Linked DNA regions of Rhinolophus ferrumequinum. The protein of the gene in region 1 purifies or fractionates together with the protein of each later gene. This does not show direct contact. Links are inferred from orthologs where the notes say so. Each region holds a gene or a part of one and is shown in the gene's direction. Other genes may lie near its edges.

Evidence for each region. Proteins that work in one complex are often made in the same cells at the same time.
Region 2: the proteins of SAP30 (region 1) and BRMS1 purify together in Homo sapiens (affinity purification with mass spectrometry; 3 studies listed by BioGRID and IntAct, with this or other methods). This does not show direct contact. The link is inferred for Rhinolophus ferrumequinum from reciprocal best matches to the Homo sapiens genes SAP30 and BRMS1.

Annotation. Positions count from the first base shown.
Region 1 is NC_046301.1:33,241,740-33,249,619, reverse strand, and holds the start of SAP30 (histone deacetylase complex subunit SAP30), read left to right. Parts: upstream 1-4,873; 5' UTR 4,874-5,613; coding exon 5,614-6,288; intron 6,289-7,880. UniProt on the Homo sapiens protein: Involved in the functional recruitment of the Sin3-histone deacetylase complex (HDAC) to a specific subset of N-CoR corepressor complexes. Capable of transcription repression by N-CoR.
Region 2 is NC_046294.1:5,585,700-5,593,689, forward strand, and holds the start of BRMS1 (breast cancer metastasis-suppressor 1), read left to right. Parts: upstream 1-4,905; 5' UTR 4,906-5,055; intron 5,056-7,580; exon of another isoform or gene 7,581-7,596; 5' UTR 7,597-7,603; coding exon 7,604-7,742; intron 7,743-7,836; coding exon 7,837-7,927; intron 7,928-7,990. Other genes in the region: B4GAT1 (beta-1,4-glucuronyltransferase 1), read left to right, coding at 2,473-3,528, 3,781-3,972. UniProt on the Homo sapiens protein: Transcriptional repressor. Down-regulates transcription activation by NF-kappa-B by promoting the deacetylation of RELA at 'Lys-310'. Promotes HDAC1 binding to promoter regions.

The DNA of each region.
Region 1 (7,880 bases):
GTAAATTTTTTGAAAATAACCTATTTTTATATGTTTCCAATTAAAGGAAATTTGTGAAATATGAATACTATGCTGATCTTATATCTAGCCAAGGAAAGTTTTAAGTTTGGTAGTGATTAAAAACTGCAAATTCTAGTATAAACACTCATAAATATAAAGGTGACATGTTTACAACTTTATCCCCTAAATAATTTTTGTTACTATGCTTAGTAGTGTGTATTTAAAAATATATTCACAAACAATATGAGATTTTCAGATGTACTTAAAAAAAATCCATCTAAATTTAAAGTCTAGAATTCTATTAAGTTAAAAAATATACTTACGCAGAGTTGAAGATTGGACTAATTAACAAAGAAAAAATATTTACACCTTGTAGGACAAGCTGAAAGATTAAAGAACAGTAAAAATTGAAGTAGTGATGTTATTTTGTTGAAAACTTCCAACAGAAATTATGTAATCAGAATGTGGACGGTGATTCAACCCTTGTAAAAACAGCAGAATTCTGTCTATTCAGTAACCTGTAGGCCTACCTCATTCTAGTTTGTTTGTTTGTGGGGGAGTAATGAAGTATTAGGTTGGTGCAAAAGTAATTGCGGTTTAAAAGTTGAAAAACAATTGCAAAAACCGCAATTACTTTTGCACCAACCTAAGAAATGTAACCCTAGAATCTGAGTCTGCTTTCTTTGCTGATCAAAAACAAGTCTATTTTGACTATCCCAAAACAGAAGTCAATGAAATAACTACATACAAATACAATATAGTCTTAATGTGGACAGTATTAAACCAAAAGAATCTGTATTTCTCAAGCCTTTCTCCTACACATGGTCCCTAACATCCCACTTTGAAGATTCTGGATTCATCTTCAGGTTTTAATGTAACCTGTTTGTCTTCCATTTCCAGTGCCGCTTCCATCCCTGCATACCCCTCTCACCATTGCAGCGTCCTAAAATATAGTTATTAATCATTTCATTAAAACATTTAGTCCTACAGACCTCCAACATGTCTATTATGTCTAAAGCAAGTGAAAGGAAGACACTATGAAAAACATACATGCTGTTTTATGACAGAAGAGATGAGCAAAGGAGAAGACAAGCAGGACAGGTAAAGAAGTGACAGTGATAAGCAGTAATGACAAAGGAGGATCATGGGGCAGATTGCACAAAGGGATAGGTATGTAGAGCAGGACATTAGATTTTATAAACTGTATGACTAATGCTATACGTATTTAACAATCGAGTATGAAACGCAGTACCACTGATTTAACAAACTGCTTTGTGTCAGGCACTGTTCTAAGTACTCTAAAAATATTAAATCATTAATCCTAATAATGCCAATGAAATAGATACACAATTTTCATTTTATAGAGGAAGTCACTGAGGCAAAAAGAGTAAGTTACTTGTCCACTGTCACAGTATCAGTATTCAGTTAGGAAAAGAAAAACCACTGGGTATTTCAGAGGCCATGTTATTACCTCTGTTACCGAGGAAATCCTTACAGAAGGGCTGGAGGAGCAAAAGGGGGTGGGGGAGGAATTGTTATCCAGAGGTAACCATAGAAGAGCTACAATCCTAGGATTGGGAGAACAAAAGAAACGGTGTTATTCAACACCCACAAATGCTGTGTTTCTGAGGCTTTGGGAACATAACTGTTGCATGGTTAGAACTATCTGCTTTCCTATTCTTGCTTTGCAAGAAGCCAGCAGACTGCAGCGGAAGCCTCCCCTCCCCCCGCCCCCGAGCCCGAGTAGAGAAGCACCGTGCTGCTGGCTGCTGGAGCCCAAAGAAGAAAAAATGCCTTCCATCCTCTTGCATTTTAATCTCCCATCAGCAGAACCTGAGTGGAGACCAACTGACAAGTGAGTCTGGGAAATATTTTTTTTTAAGATTTCAGTACTCTTGCAATACTCGTACAGAGTTGAGAGAGAGAGAGAGAGAGAGAGAGAGAGAGAGAGGAGCTGAGACAACAGACAAATCACCAGCACAGTCTTAACTAGAAGTGACAGAGTTTAAATCTCAAGCATTCTGGCTCCTGAGTCCGTGCTCTTTACTACAGACAATGCTATGACACTGATATACTGTAACAAGAGTATTCCATACATCTTAAAATTAATATCTGATCATAATGTGGGATGGCATAAAAAATTATAGGAATTGCATTCATTGAATATTCTACAAATATTTAGCAAGTTCCTACTTTGTGGTGGGCACTGTTCTACTGGAGATACAATGATGGGGAAGAAAAATTTTTCTTAAAAATGAGGGACTAGGGCTCTTTTCTCCCTGTTTCAGACTGAGCAAAATTGCCTGGGAAGGATTCCAACTGGCTTACCCTGAGTCATGTGCCCACCCACTGAACCAACACTAGCTGAGTGAGGGACAGGTATTGGGGAAATAACCTAGTAGAAATGCCCACTATAATCCTGAGACAGGGATCTGAGAGCAGGTAGTTAATCAGGAGGATTCAGGAAACACTTGTAGGAAGTGGGGAAGTGAGACAAAGAAGGGAAGGCAGTAAATAAAGGGTGCCTTATCAAGCCAGCTACCACTAGTAATGACTGAAGCATAATCCTACAGGAAAACTCAGGGAAATAGTATGAAATACATGACTCAAAATTATCCCAGGTGAGGGGCAAAAGAGCTGGGGTATCTATAACATCATGTAAGAATTACTGAGATGGAAATTGATAATTCTCAACCATTTCCAAATTGCCCTGACTAACCAGGGCATGCTTGAGAAAAAGCCCTCAAGCAAAGAGATACAGATACTGGCAGCTGGAAATCTGCCTGAGAACAGTGAAGTGGTAAAAGCCACATGGGCAAGGATCTAAGAGGCCCACTATTTATTCATCAGATAAAAATTTCCTTTGCACAGTTATGATTTCCAAAGAAATAATGCCTGTGAAAGTTTTATAAAGTGGAAAGTAAAATATAAAGAATTGTTTAGAAGTTTCTTGAAGGCAGGGAATGTGTATCATGTTTTATAGTTCTCATAGGACCTTACACAGTGCTATGCATATGTCATAGGCTCAAATATTTACTGAGTGAATTTGTCAATTAATACCCGAACATATTGTTTTCTAGGTTTACAAAGGTGGAATTCCTTTTAAACTTCCATTAAAACTCATTTCTGCTAACTTCTGAAAGAATTTTTTATCTGTTTCAAGAACTTTAAATAGCATGGCCTTGTCCTGTTCCTTCTTTGATCGTATTTCTTAAATCTAGACCATTGTAGATAACTGTTAATTGCTTACCCAAGGATCATTCTCTCCTTCCTTCTTACTTTAAAAAATACCTTGATTATAAATAGGGTATTGATAGATTTTTGCTGGTTCAAACCAATCATGAGAATGCTACTCTGAGTAGCATGAGGGAAAGCAAAACCATAGATGCCAACCCTGACATTGCTGAACTACGGAATACCAGGGGCCATTTTCCCTCAGCCTTCTTCTTGTCAGAAAAAATAAACTCCTAATAATACTGTTCAACAGATACTCTGTTCTATGCAACTGGTGATTCATAACTTTAAGTAGCATATTTTTTCCTTTTGCATAGCAACCCCAAGACAAGTCATTACAAAATTGGAGTAAATTATTTAAGATAGTAACTCAGCAGAAAACCGAGACAGAAGTATTTGGCCACACTAATTTTAATCTTTTTGGGTTTTCCTCTAAGGAAAGATCACAGTATTCCCCGCAGCTCTTTACCTGTGCTCTCCCCTTCAATATGCACTTTGATATTTTAGAACATCTAAAGAAGTTCAGTAGGGCTCTATCACCAAGAAAGTTGTAGTGAGATGATGACCTTTCAGATACAAGTTATTTGAAACTCCCTACTATCCCCTAGCCTCTCTTCTGAGAGAGAAGCACAACCCTGAAGTTGGATTGTATCCATCCTGTCCATGTTTTCATTTTTACCATTTAAAAAAATATACCCATAAACAATAGATAGTATTATTCTGTTTTAATACTTTAAGCCAGCATTACCTAATACTAATTTGTCAGCCTTGTGTGTAGTTTTTTTAAAAAAACAGGTAAAATTTATTTTAATGTTATATTTTATTTAACCCAATATATCAAAAAATTAATGAGCTATTCAGTATTCTGGGTTTTTTTAAAAAAAATTTCAGTACTAAGTCTTTGAAACCCCACTAATAGTTTATACTTAGAGCTTATCTCAATTTCAATGCTGAATTTAGATTTCATAAAGTTTGAGTTGAAAAAATAAGATTCAAATATCCACGTTGTTCCAAACATACTTAAAAGTCTTCCAGTAACTGCAATAAGTTTTTAAAATTTAAATTAAGATTAAATGAAGATTCCATTTTTCAGTCACAATAACCGCATTTCAAGTGCTCAATAGCCACATATGGATAGGGGACACGCTACTGGACAGTGCAGGTTGAAAAGATACCACAAAGCATTTACCATCCAACATTTTTTTGACTCCTCAATTTATGGAATATTTTAATTCTTTTGTTTTCCTATGTCATATCCTAGAATGGGAATGAACAGATGGAATGGTTGGATTTGAATTTCAGGGCAGATGACATGTTTACATTTTTTAAAAAAATCATCGATCATTCAATTTACTCAGAAAGTCTAAAAAAACTTTCAAAAAAAACCTACTGCTTTCTATTTTTTTGTTTAAACAATGGGATTGTTAAACAGGGCAGAGCTACTGATAATGACGTGCTGTAACTAGCAAAGGCGCAGCTTTCATATTATCGCTCCCGTCCTTCTATACCCCGCCCTCCACTAGAACGCGCCCGCACTCACGCACAACCATGTACACACATACACATCCATGTACACACACACACACACACACACACACAGAGACTCCGCCCTTCTCCTGGTTCATTTCAGGAGAAATGGAAAAGGTCGGGGGTGGAGGCGAAAGAAGCCCTGTTATAGTCAACTAGTCATTAGCTCCACCTCAGGAAGAGGCAGACTGCGCGCAGGAATAAAACGTGTTCCTTGAAGGAACATGCAAAGATTTACAAACGACCTTCAGCTGAGGCAGTTGTGAGGCTGCCCTGTCCATGTTGAGATTGGGATGGGCGTTTTCCCCGAATCAGGCACTTTTATTAACAATTTGGTGCGTCAGTGAATGGAGTTGCTCTTCAGCCGCAGTGTTAACTGCGGGACCTCCAAAACCCGCAGAACGCCAGCTCACCTGAGTTCTTGGTTTCCAACAAAAGCGTGGTCACACCACAAACTTTTATCGCAGATAGGAAAACGACTCTGAAACTTTCTTTTCCCGGAACCCTCACTCCCCTCCTACCCCGCCCTCTGCGCTATGCGCTCCGCTTCTGGAGGTGAATAACCTCTTCGTCTAGAATGCCAGCTCTGCGAAATCCCAGGTACTAAACACAACCCGACTAACCAACCTCCCGGGATAGAGAAGCTAGAAAACGTAGCAACCCCCATATACAAGCCGCTGTTTTCCCCGAGGTTTTTTTTTGTTTTGTTTTTTTAAAAAGACAACCGTCCCATCGCCGCGCAATGCATACTAGAATAAGTAGTTCCTTCAACCGGCGAGGCCTGAGATCAGTTCCGAGCTCAGGTTAACTCTCCGGAAGAGCACTACAATTCCCATCGCACCCTACGGCAGCATGGAAGGGGCGGGACGGGAGGGCGCGTCGCGCTTGCGCGGGTCGAGAGGCGGTAGAGTAGGAGAGGTTGCGGTCGAACTGCTAAAGCGTCTCCATGTGACAGTGAGCTGGGTCCCAGCTCCAGCCGCCGCCCGACTCTGGTTTCCGACCCCAAGAACTGTCCACTGTCCCGGCACCAGCAGACACCAGCAGGCGGGGGACACTTGGTGTTTGGCTGTGCCGCCTGAGGACTTGGTGTACGGAGTGAATTGTAGCCGCCGGTGCAGGTGCCTGAGGGAGCTCGCTGAGACCCCTGCGTCTCCAGAGAGAGGCGGAGCGGGGATTTCTGTCAGCGCCGGCGCCTCTGAGCGCGGAGTCATGAATGGTTTCACGCCTGAAGAGATGAGCCGTGGCGGGGATGCGGCCGCCGCAGTGGCCGCGGTAGTTGCTGCCGCCGCAGCTGCCGCCGCTTCGGCCGGGAATGGGGCCGGGGCGGGCGCCGGGGCTGAGGTGCCCGGCGCCGGGGCCGTCTCGGCGGCTGGGCCCCCAGGAGCGGCTGGGCCGGGCCCCGGGCAACTGTGCTGTCTGCGGGAAGACGGTGAGCGGTGCGGCCGGGCGGCAGGCAACGCCAGCTTCAGCAAGAGGATCCAGAAGAGCATCTCCCAGAAGAAGGTGAAGATTGAGCTGGATAAGAGTGTAAGTGACGGCGGGACGGCCCTGCCCTGCCCTGCCCATCCCCTAGGGGCTCCGGGAGCGGTGCAGACAGGGGTTGTTGGGCGCGGTGTTCAGGGGTTCCTTCCGCCCCGATCTGGCTGCAGTGCAAACCCCTTGTGGGGTCTCTGGTAGGAAGCAAATAACAAAGTCGCAGCAACTGCGACCACTACCCGCAACAGACACACTTGCACGCTGTGGTTTCTCTCCCCGCCCCCCAACTCCCCACCCCCCGCTGCCGGCGTCGCTCCCGCTCACTGTCTTCCCCCTTCCTCCGTCGCTGAGATCGGGAAACGAAACAAAGGGAACAGGCGCACTGAGTGTCGGGGGTAGTTTAGTTGTAGCCGGGCAGCTCTTTCTGGAATGGAGGCGCCGCCTTTGTTTTGCTGTCCAAGCTGGCGTTTGGCCCAGGGAGTAGTTCCTCTGGTCAAGGGAAAGTGGAATCCTACAAGGACCTGACACCGCAGTCAGGAAGAATCCCGAGTATGGAGTGAGGGAGGCTGAGCTCGCCCCGCGCCTTGCAGGGAGCCGGCGTTGTGAACTGTGGCGGCGGTGTCAGCAGCGAGGGCAGCTGCTCCGAGCGTGGGGAGCACGTAGTCTCGGCGGCTTTGCCATCCGTTTGGCAGCCATCAGGATTTCTTTTTCCCTCCTTTTGCTTGTCTGTTCTTTTGACCGTCTACGAGGCTTTTAGAAACAACCATTGCCACTTTTCAGAGCTCTGTCTGGTGGTAAATGCATAACAAGATGTCAGAACTCGCATACGTCCTGCTTATTTTTAACTTGCACTGAGCTTGGAAGTTAACAGCCTATTAGCTCAGTCCTTAATTGTTTAGTTTTTTTAAGGAGTAACTGTTAGTATATGAAGTCCAGTATTTCAAATGTTACTATACAAGCTCTCAAGACTGTAAATAAAGTTTTTGAAAAGTTGGTGATCCTTTCTGACTGTTTATACAGTCTGCAGTCACGTTCATGAGAAACTTTTCAGTTAAACTTGAGTAATTTCACATTGCTTTGGTTGAGTTAACGGATTACAGATAAATATATTCATTTAATACTCAGAAAAGTTTATAATTTCAAATTTAAATAAGTAGGGTATGAAATCAATAGCTTATTTGTAAAAATGAATAGTTTTGCATCTGGGTTATAATTTGGGTATTGAATTAGAGAGAAAGACTAGGAAGCATATATCATGCTACTAACGTATGCTCTTTAATAGAGAAAATACTATCATAAAGCAACACTGGGCAACCTCATCATTCCCCTTCTTGTTAGAAAAACAGCATGACCTAACTCATCTATTATAGTTCACCTTCACTGCAATTTGATGACAAAATCCAGAGGGTTGGAATTTCTCATTCTCCTTCTCTGCCTCTCTCCCCTTCCTTACTGCCACCCCTCCCCACCCCACTTCCCAGTCCTCTTAACAACATTGCTAGACATGGTATGTTTTAACTGGGTACAGGACTTTCAAAAGAAACATGCCCTTGTCTTAACAGTGGCCTATTTTGATTGTTTTTATATTTAATAATTCACTGGTGGCCTCTGTATTTTATTAATATGTAGACATTTTACTGTAG
Region 2 (7,990 bases), on another chromosome or scaffold:
CGCAAGTCTAGGCTATGACCTGTTCTTCTGACTGACTGGCTATAAGCCGGATTCCAGCAACCCTCTCCTTGGGTTCAATTAATTTGCCAGAGCAGCTCACAGCACTCAGAGAAACATTTTACTTATATGTTTATTATAAAAGGCTATAAATCAGGACCAGCCAGATGGAAGAGAGGCATAGGCCAGGCAAGATGTACAGGAAGCAGACCCCTTGTTAATGGTTTTTAACTCTGGTCTTTGAATGTCTCAGGTCCCATTCCATGACAGCCAGGCCCTCACCTCGCCAGGCCTCTCTGCCCACAGTAATAGGCTTTTGGCCTTCCTCTGGCCCCTTCCATGTGAGTTTCCTTGATACCTCACCAAGGCTCAGTCACTGCTTTTCATTCTCCCCTTAGACCAGGTCCCCTGGGGACACTTCAGAAGCCTCTGATTTACTCAATCAACAAACATGAATTGATGCCTGCTATGTGGCTAGCATTGGAGTGGGTGAGGGAGGGGTGTTGTGGGCAGATGCCCAAGCAAATCTTCAATAGAGGTAGAAAATGAGTATTGTGTAAGTACTGCAGATGAAACACAAATGCTCAAAGGTCTGGGGTAGGCAGGGAAGGGACAGGGTTGAGACTTCAGCAAAGAGAAGACTGTTTGTTTGCAAAGGGAGAGCCACTCTTATGTTCTGGCCAATTGTCTCCCTGTGGGAATGCAGGCCTGGCATTGCTAGATCTTCCAGAATTTAAAACAGAAGTTGGAAATGTGGATTTTATGTGAAATCTCCTGATTCACCAAAGTTAACAACTAATGTGATTTAAATCATTATTTTTAAACCCTAAACAAGTAAAAGAAAACCCAAATGGTACCAAATCTGCCTTCTGAGTTTCCAGTTTACAAGACCTCTGCTGAAAAGATCTACTCATACCTTTCTCCTCTCTCCTGGCACAGGTCACCAGTAAAAACCTTAAAGGACAGTACCTGTGTCTCCTACAAGGCCCCATCCCCAGTGCCAAACACAGCCGCTGCTGTTAGCAGGTGCTCAGTAGGTGATGTGGCTGGGGGCTGCATAACACAGGTCTCCTGGTCATTCTTCAACTCAACAACCCTGGCTCCCTACTGCCTGTGGAGTAGTGGACAAATACCTTACCCTGCCACTCCAGGCCCTCCCCAATCTGTCCACCTTCCAAGGATTCACAGCGATCGAACAGTTATTACATGTAATTGATTTAGCAGTCGAAGTACCTGCCCTTCCCCACAGCCTCTCCTCTCTAAAGTCTATGGATCAATTATTCCACACTTATTGTATGTAGCCTTATGTTGGCTGGTGTTCAAGATGTTCTGTGTGTGTGTGCTGGAGAAGGAGGTGTGTGGATACAAGATCTCCCCTCTGAGAAAAATGTTGGGCGAGGGGAACCAGTGGGCTGGATAGAGTAATAATTTAAATGAACAAACACCACCACCACCACCACCACCACCACCCTTAAGTTCCACTACAGGGAGGGTGGCGCTACGGGGGTGGGGGTGGGGGGCAGCTTCTCTACTTAATATATTGGCCCCTAATTTGGCATTGGCCAGAATTCCATTTCTGGTCTTCTAGTTGCCACCGAACCCTGGGACCTTTTTCTAGGGAGAAAGAAAATGGCACACCACTGACCCCCTGGCCAGAAGGGGCAGGTACCGAGAGTATGAAGAGCCTGACAGGCGGGGAGATGCATGGTGAACAAAGAGATCCGGGTTGTGTCGAATCGTGCGTCCCAATCTGGTACTCCAGACCCGAGGGATGTGGAAAATTAAGAATTATTAATCATCTCCCGTGTAAAACACGACCGACGAGGATGGGATTCGAACCCACGCGTGCAAAGCACAATGGATTAGCAGTCCATCGCCTTAACCACTCGGCCACCTCGTCCCACGTACAAATGCTCTTTCCACATTCTCTTATCTCTTACCTCCTCCATATTTTCTGGGTCCTTAACATCTATTTTTCAGTGCAGCTTCTGTAGGACCTAAAGGAAGGAAAGACCGCGGAAAGAAAGGGCATTCTTTTGTGCTCCTTTCCTCCCGCTGCTGCCGGGAACCCGCGTCATCCTTCACCCAGCTGCAGCCGAGCTCTGCCACGGTTTCCCCTCCCTGAGTCCGGGGCGAGCGCGCCGTGGTTTCAGGACGCGCTTGGTCCAGGGGGTCGCGCACAGACCGGGAGGGAATGGGTGTGTGTGGCTGGGAACCCGGCGGCGCCGCTGCGGGCGAATCCAGCTTTTGCAAAGCGCGCCCGGCGGGCGGCGAGTGCAGTAGATCCTCCTGGCGCGCAGGGGGCGAGCTGGAGCGCCGGTAGGCCAGCGTGGGCGGACGGGGCTGCGCACTGGGCTCGGCTCGCCTCGGCTCGCTTCGGCAGAGCTCGGCAGGCTGCGGTAAATCCGGGCTTGCAGCGGCTGGCAGAGGCTGCTGTCTGGTAGTCCCTGCTGCGTGTTCCGAGCCCCGAGAGCCATGCAGATGTCCTACGCCATCCGGTGCGCCTTCTACCAGCTGCTGCTGGCGGCGCTAATGCTGGTGGCGATGCTACAGCTACTCTACCTGTCGCTGCTGTCCGGGATGCACGGACAGGAGGAGCAAGACCAGTACTTCGAGTTCTTCCCCCCCTCCCCGAGGTCCGTGGACCAGGTCAAGGCGCAGCTCCGCACCGCGCTGGCCTCCGGAGGCGTCCTGGACGCCAGCGGCGACTACCGCGTCTATAGAGGCCTACTGAAGACCACCATGGACCCCAATGATGTGATCCTGGCCACGCACGCCAGCGTGGACAACCTGCTGCATCTGTCGGGCCTGTTGGAGCGCTGGGAGGGCCCGCTATCTGTATCGGTGTTCGCCGCCACCAAAGAAGAGGCGCAGCTGGCCACGGTGCTGACCTACGCGCTGAGCAGTCACTGCCCGGATATGCGCGCTAGGGTCGCCATGCACCTTGTGTGCCCCTCGCGCTATGAGGCCGCCGTGCCCGACCCCCGGGAGCCGGGGGAGTTTGCCCTGCTGCGGTCCTGCCAGGAGGTCTTCGACAAGCTAGCCAGGGTGGCCCAGCCCGGGATCAATTACGCGCTGGGCACCAATGTATCGTATCCCAATAACCTGCTGAGGAATCTGGCTCGTGAGGGGGCCAACTATGCCCTGGTAATCGATGTGGACATGGTGCCCAGCGAGGGACTGTGGAGAGGGCTGCGGGAAATGCTGGATCAGAGCAAGCAGTGGGCGGGCACAGCGCTGGTGGTGCCTGCCTTCGAGATCCGCCGAGCCCGCCGCATGCCCACAAACAAGAATGAGCTCCTGCAGCTGTACCAGGTGGGGGAGGTGCGGCCCTTCTATTATGGGCTGTGCACTCCCTGCCAGGCAACCACCAACTATTCCCGCTGGGTCAACCTGCCAGAAGAGACCTTGCTGAGGCCTGCCTACGTGGTGCCCTGGCAGGACCCCTGGGAGCCATTCTACGTGGCTGGAGGCAAGGTGCCCACCTTCGACGAACGCTTTCGGCAGTACGGCTTCAATCGCATCAGCCAGGTACCCATAAGGGAGAGAGCAGGGGAAATGGGGGAGGAAGGGTGGTGGGGATCTGGAAGCTATGAGTGGCCCTGGGTGGGAAGAGGGCAATGAGGCAGGAGGGATCGTAGTTCAGGAGGTGGTTGGAGGGTGTGTAAGATCCAGGATGCCTCCAGAGGAGTGGGGATGCTGGAGTCAGCGTTAGGGGTGTCCGTCTCAGCTCTAGGAATGTCATCACTTTGCTGACCTATCTCTCCCCCCTCACCCCCACAGGCCTGTGAGCTGCACGTGGCAGGATTTGATTTCGAGGTGCTGAATGAAGGTTTCCTGGTTCACAAGGGCTTCAAAGAAGCCCTGAAGTTCCATCCCCAAAAGGAGGCGGAAAATCAGCACAATAAGATTCTTTATCGCCAGTTCAAACAGGAGTTGAAGGCCAAGTATCCCGACTCCTCCCGTCATTGCTGAGCCCTTCCTTACCCTACTCTGAGAGGTCTCAGCCTCCTCTCTCCTTAGGCCGCCCCCCAGGCCTGACAGGGGTAAGAAATGTCACTCCACTTTACAGTGGTAGCTGTGGTGTTGGAACACTGGACTTGAATATGGGGTGCTGGGATCAAGTCCTAGCTTTACCACTAACTAGCTGTGTGGCCTTGAGCAAATCCCGTTCCCTCTCTGAGCCTCAATTACCCCGTCTGTGAAAAGGGAGGTGAGAATACCTACCTCTCAGAACTGTTGGGAGGCTCAGATGAGATGCTATATGTGAAAACATTCTGTAAGCTTCGTACAAATGTGAAGTATTAATATTATTACAGTATTATTGTTGTTATTGTTGTTATTATTAACAATCTTGGGTGGGTAGGCAGTAGGAGAGCAAAAAGTATGAATGGGACAGAGCTGAGAAGTCTGAGTACTTAACAAAATGGGCTTTTTGGAAAGAAATCAGAGAAGAAAAGGCGTTGAGTTTAGTTCTTAGCTTTTGTACAGAAGCCTAAACTTACTGGTTCTCCCAGGCCTCTGCCCTCGGGGCCTCTGGAGAAGGAAAGGGTCTGCAGGTTCTGTACCCTCCAATAGGCTGGGCTGGGTTATTTGCCTACCAATGACAATGTGTAAATAAATAAATGAGTGTTCACACCTACAGCTGGCTCCGTTACTCTCCTGAACCGAGCAGGCGGAGGGGTCGCGGGTTCAACCCTTTCACGCCGGGGGAGGGTGGGGGGAGGTGACCACGGACAGAGGAGCACCGGCGGCAAAGCAAGAAAACCACAAGGGTCTTTTTCCGGAGGGCTGACTGCGCCAGTGTGAACTTCGGCTAGTTGCTATGGAGACCGGTCCGCGGTATCCCAGCATTCCTCGTCCCCAGCTGTCCAATTGTGTGAGCTTCCCAAAGGGCGCCCCCTGATGACGCATACGGAAGCACCGATAGGCCCCACCTCCCAGTAAAGAGAGACCGGCACCGCGCTTCCGGGAGCCGGACGGCGGGGGTGAGCACCGGTCGCCGCGGACACCTGTTGGGAAATCTCTGACGTGAGGCCGGAGGCTCCAATCCGTGCGGTGCGTAACGCCACCTGTGACGCCTGGTTCGGCCTCCGGCGGGTGGATCGGAGCCCACCCCATCTCCAGGGCCGAAGCGGAGACTTAACCTGCCGGGAGCGTGCAGGGCCGCGGGCCCCAAACCCCCTGCGGAAGAGCTAGAGATTCTCCTACCCGCGCGGACGCATACGGGGATGGAGCGGGCGGGAGGCTCCGGGCGCGCCGCGGAGGGGCTGGGTTGGCCTCTTCGAGGGTGGGGAAGAATCTGCCTTCCGTGGAGGCCAGCCTTCGAGATGCTCACTTTCTGAAAAGATAAACTGCATGTGTACAGCGCCTTAAAATTTGCGTCTCCATCCCTTACCCCTTGCAGTCTTAATAACATTCAGAGTAGCAATGGCCATTCTCTGTTTGGCCTGGGGTAAGGAGGGGAGGTTGTGATTTTATTGAGCTCATTCAGTAGAATCAGGCAGCTGGAGTGACTCCCGTCCCCTCTCCCCCGCCCTTTCTGGTCCCGATTACGTTGCATCTTAGAAAGTAAATATCTTTAACAGTGAAGAGGAATTGCAAAATTTGGAAACTGTGGGAACTGAGGCTTGTGAGTGGGAAAGATGCGGCTGGTTTGGAGAACCGAAGGTTTCAGGTTAGGTTCATATTATTTGTGAAGTCATTGAGGAATGTGACTAAACTATGCTCTAGTCCAGTTATTTTGCACAACTCGAACTGGTGTCAAGGAAGGTGAACAGAACACTTTGGGTTTGCTACCACCGAAGGGGCCTGGGGCTACCAAGAAGTAAAAGCCAATGCCTGCCTCACAAAAGTTTGTTTTGTTTAATTTGTATTTGCGAATCCCCCATCGCCATCGCTTGCGTCGGTACTGCGCTAGGTGAATAAGGCGCATGTGCAGCCCTGCCCCGTGAGGCTTAGGGACTAGCTGAGGACACAGACATGAGAACGGGCAAATAGAGAGGAGATGTAAACAAATAAGGCTTCCTGGAGGGAGGGGTTCTATTCCAATGTAAAGGACTACATAGAAGTACCCAGAGAGGTTGCAAAAACATCACAATGAAATAGAATCCCCAGTAGACAGGTTATCTGTTGAGAGGACTATTGAGTCTTCTCAGGAGATCTCTTGGCAGCATTTGGCACTGTCACCTCTCTTTCCTTATGAAAGTCTCTCTCCCCATGAATCGAGTTGTTCCTCCTCTACCTCTTGCTAATTTCCTTCTCCTTTGCAGGGGTCTCATCTGCCCCTTTGGTGACCCGGGGAGTTCCATCATGGATGTCTTCTCATTCCACACTTTCTGCCTTGCTGGTTGCTCCTTCTCTCAGGGCCTGAAGAACTTGCTACATGCCCTTGACCAGATCTCTGCAGCCCAGACTTGTCTCTCAAGCTTAGACCCATGTGCCCCCAACCTTGCCCCTTCTTTCATTTGGGGGTTTTTGCACATGCTGCTCCCTCTATTTGGAATGTTCCCTCCCTTGACCAGCTCAGCCCATCCGTGTGCCCATCTTCCTCTGCAAGTCAGCTGCAGCAACTCCAGGCCCCAGTTAGATTCCTCTCCCATAAGCCCGCTCTCAACTCTTCTCACACCACACTAATGGTCTGCTTCTTTGCCTTTTTCTCCCAGGAACTTGTAAACCACTTGAGGTCAGAGACCGTGTATGTCTGTCTCGCCACTGTGACCAGCACCTACCATTGTGTCTGATGGTACCTAGCATAATTAGAATTCCAATGACGTGAGATGAGTGAAGAAAGGAAGCAATATTTAACAGTGTTCAGGGTTGCTGAGATGTCAGCTGTGATAAGCACTGAAAAATACTGGCTTCAGGCACAGGGAGGTCGTCGGTTTATTCTATAGGATTAGTTTTGGCTGAGAGTGATGATACAGAAACAAATGGGAACAAGCGGGAGGTGACAGTAGGAAGAACAAGTGTACACAGGCCTGGAAAAGTGTAGCTGTGAGGTGGAAACGGGGAGCAGTTCAATGGAATCGGGTGAGGTTTTGTGTTTCTGTTGTTCCTGAATGGTGGAACATACCTGAGCATGTCTAAGAGGGGAGCACCGCTGATAGGAGATCGCAGAGGAAGCAGAAGGAGATGGGACTGGACTCAGAGAAGACAAGAGGTTGTAGAGTGTTCTCAGGATGAGAAGTGGAGGGCATTATAGGCAGAGGGAATAGCATGAGGGGCCTGGGGGCAAGTGCCTGGTGTATTCGAGAATTGGCCAGTAGACGGCAAGGTGAAGGAGCTGGCCCAGTCAGAAGTCTGGGCCCAGGCGCATAGGCAGGGGGAGCCCACCCTTGGCCTTTCCCACCTTATGGATCATCACCTTGGCCAATATTCCCAGGATTGGGATCATCCCCAGGGTCCCAGGGCACGAGCATTTCCGTGGCTTCTGGGAGCTGTGCAGACGGCCACGTGCACCCTCCGCACCCACTGTGTGCTCGGGGTGTGGCAAATCCAGTTCCTTCCCCCGCTGTCCAAGGCTTGGTGTGACTCCTAGTGACCACTTTCCTGCTTGGAGCTGTGGGCAGAGGTGAGTGATGGCTCCACTCCTTCCAGGGTCCAGATGCCGATCCAGCCTCCCAGCAAAGACACAGAAGAGATGGAAGCAGAGGGTGATTCAGCTGCCGAGATGAATGGGGAGGAAGAAGAGAGTGAGGAGGAGCGGAGCGGCAGCCAGACGGAGTCCGAGGAGGAGAGCTCAGGTGAGCCCCCCCCACCCGCAATGCGCACGCATACGCGCGCACACACCGGTGCCCTCCCACTCCCCCGCTGGCCCTGACTGGCCTCTTATCCCAGAGATGGACGAGGAGGACTACGAGCGGCGCCGCAGCGAGTGCCTCAACGAGATGCTGGACCTAGAGAAGCAGTTCTCGGAGCTCAAGGAGAAGTGAGCGAGCGAGGGACACCGGCATGGGTCCTTAGGCACCGGGGTTGAGGAGGCCATGGGCCT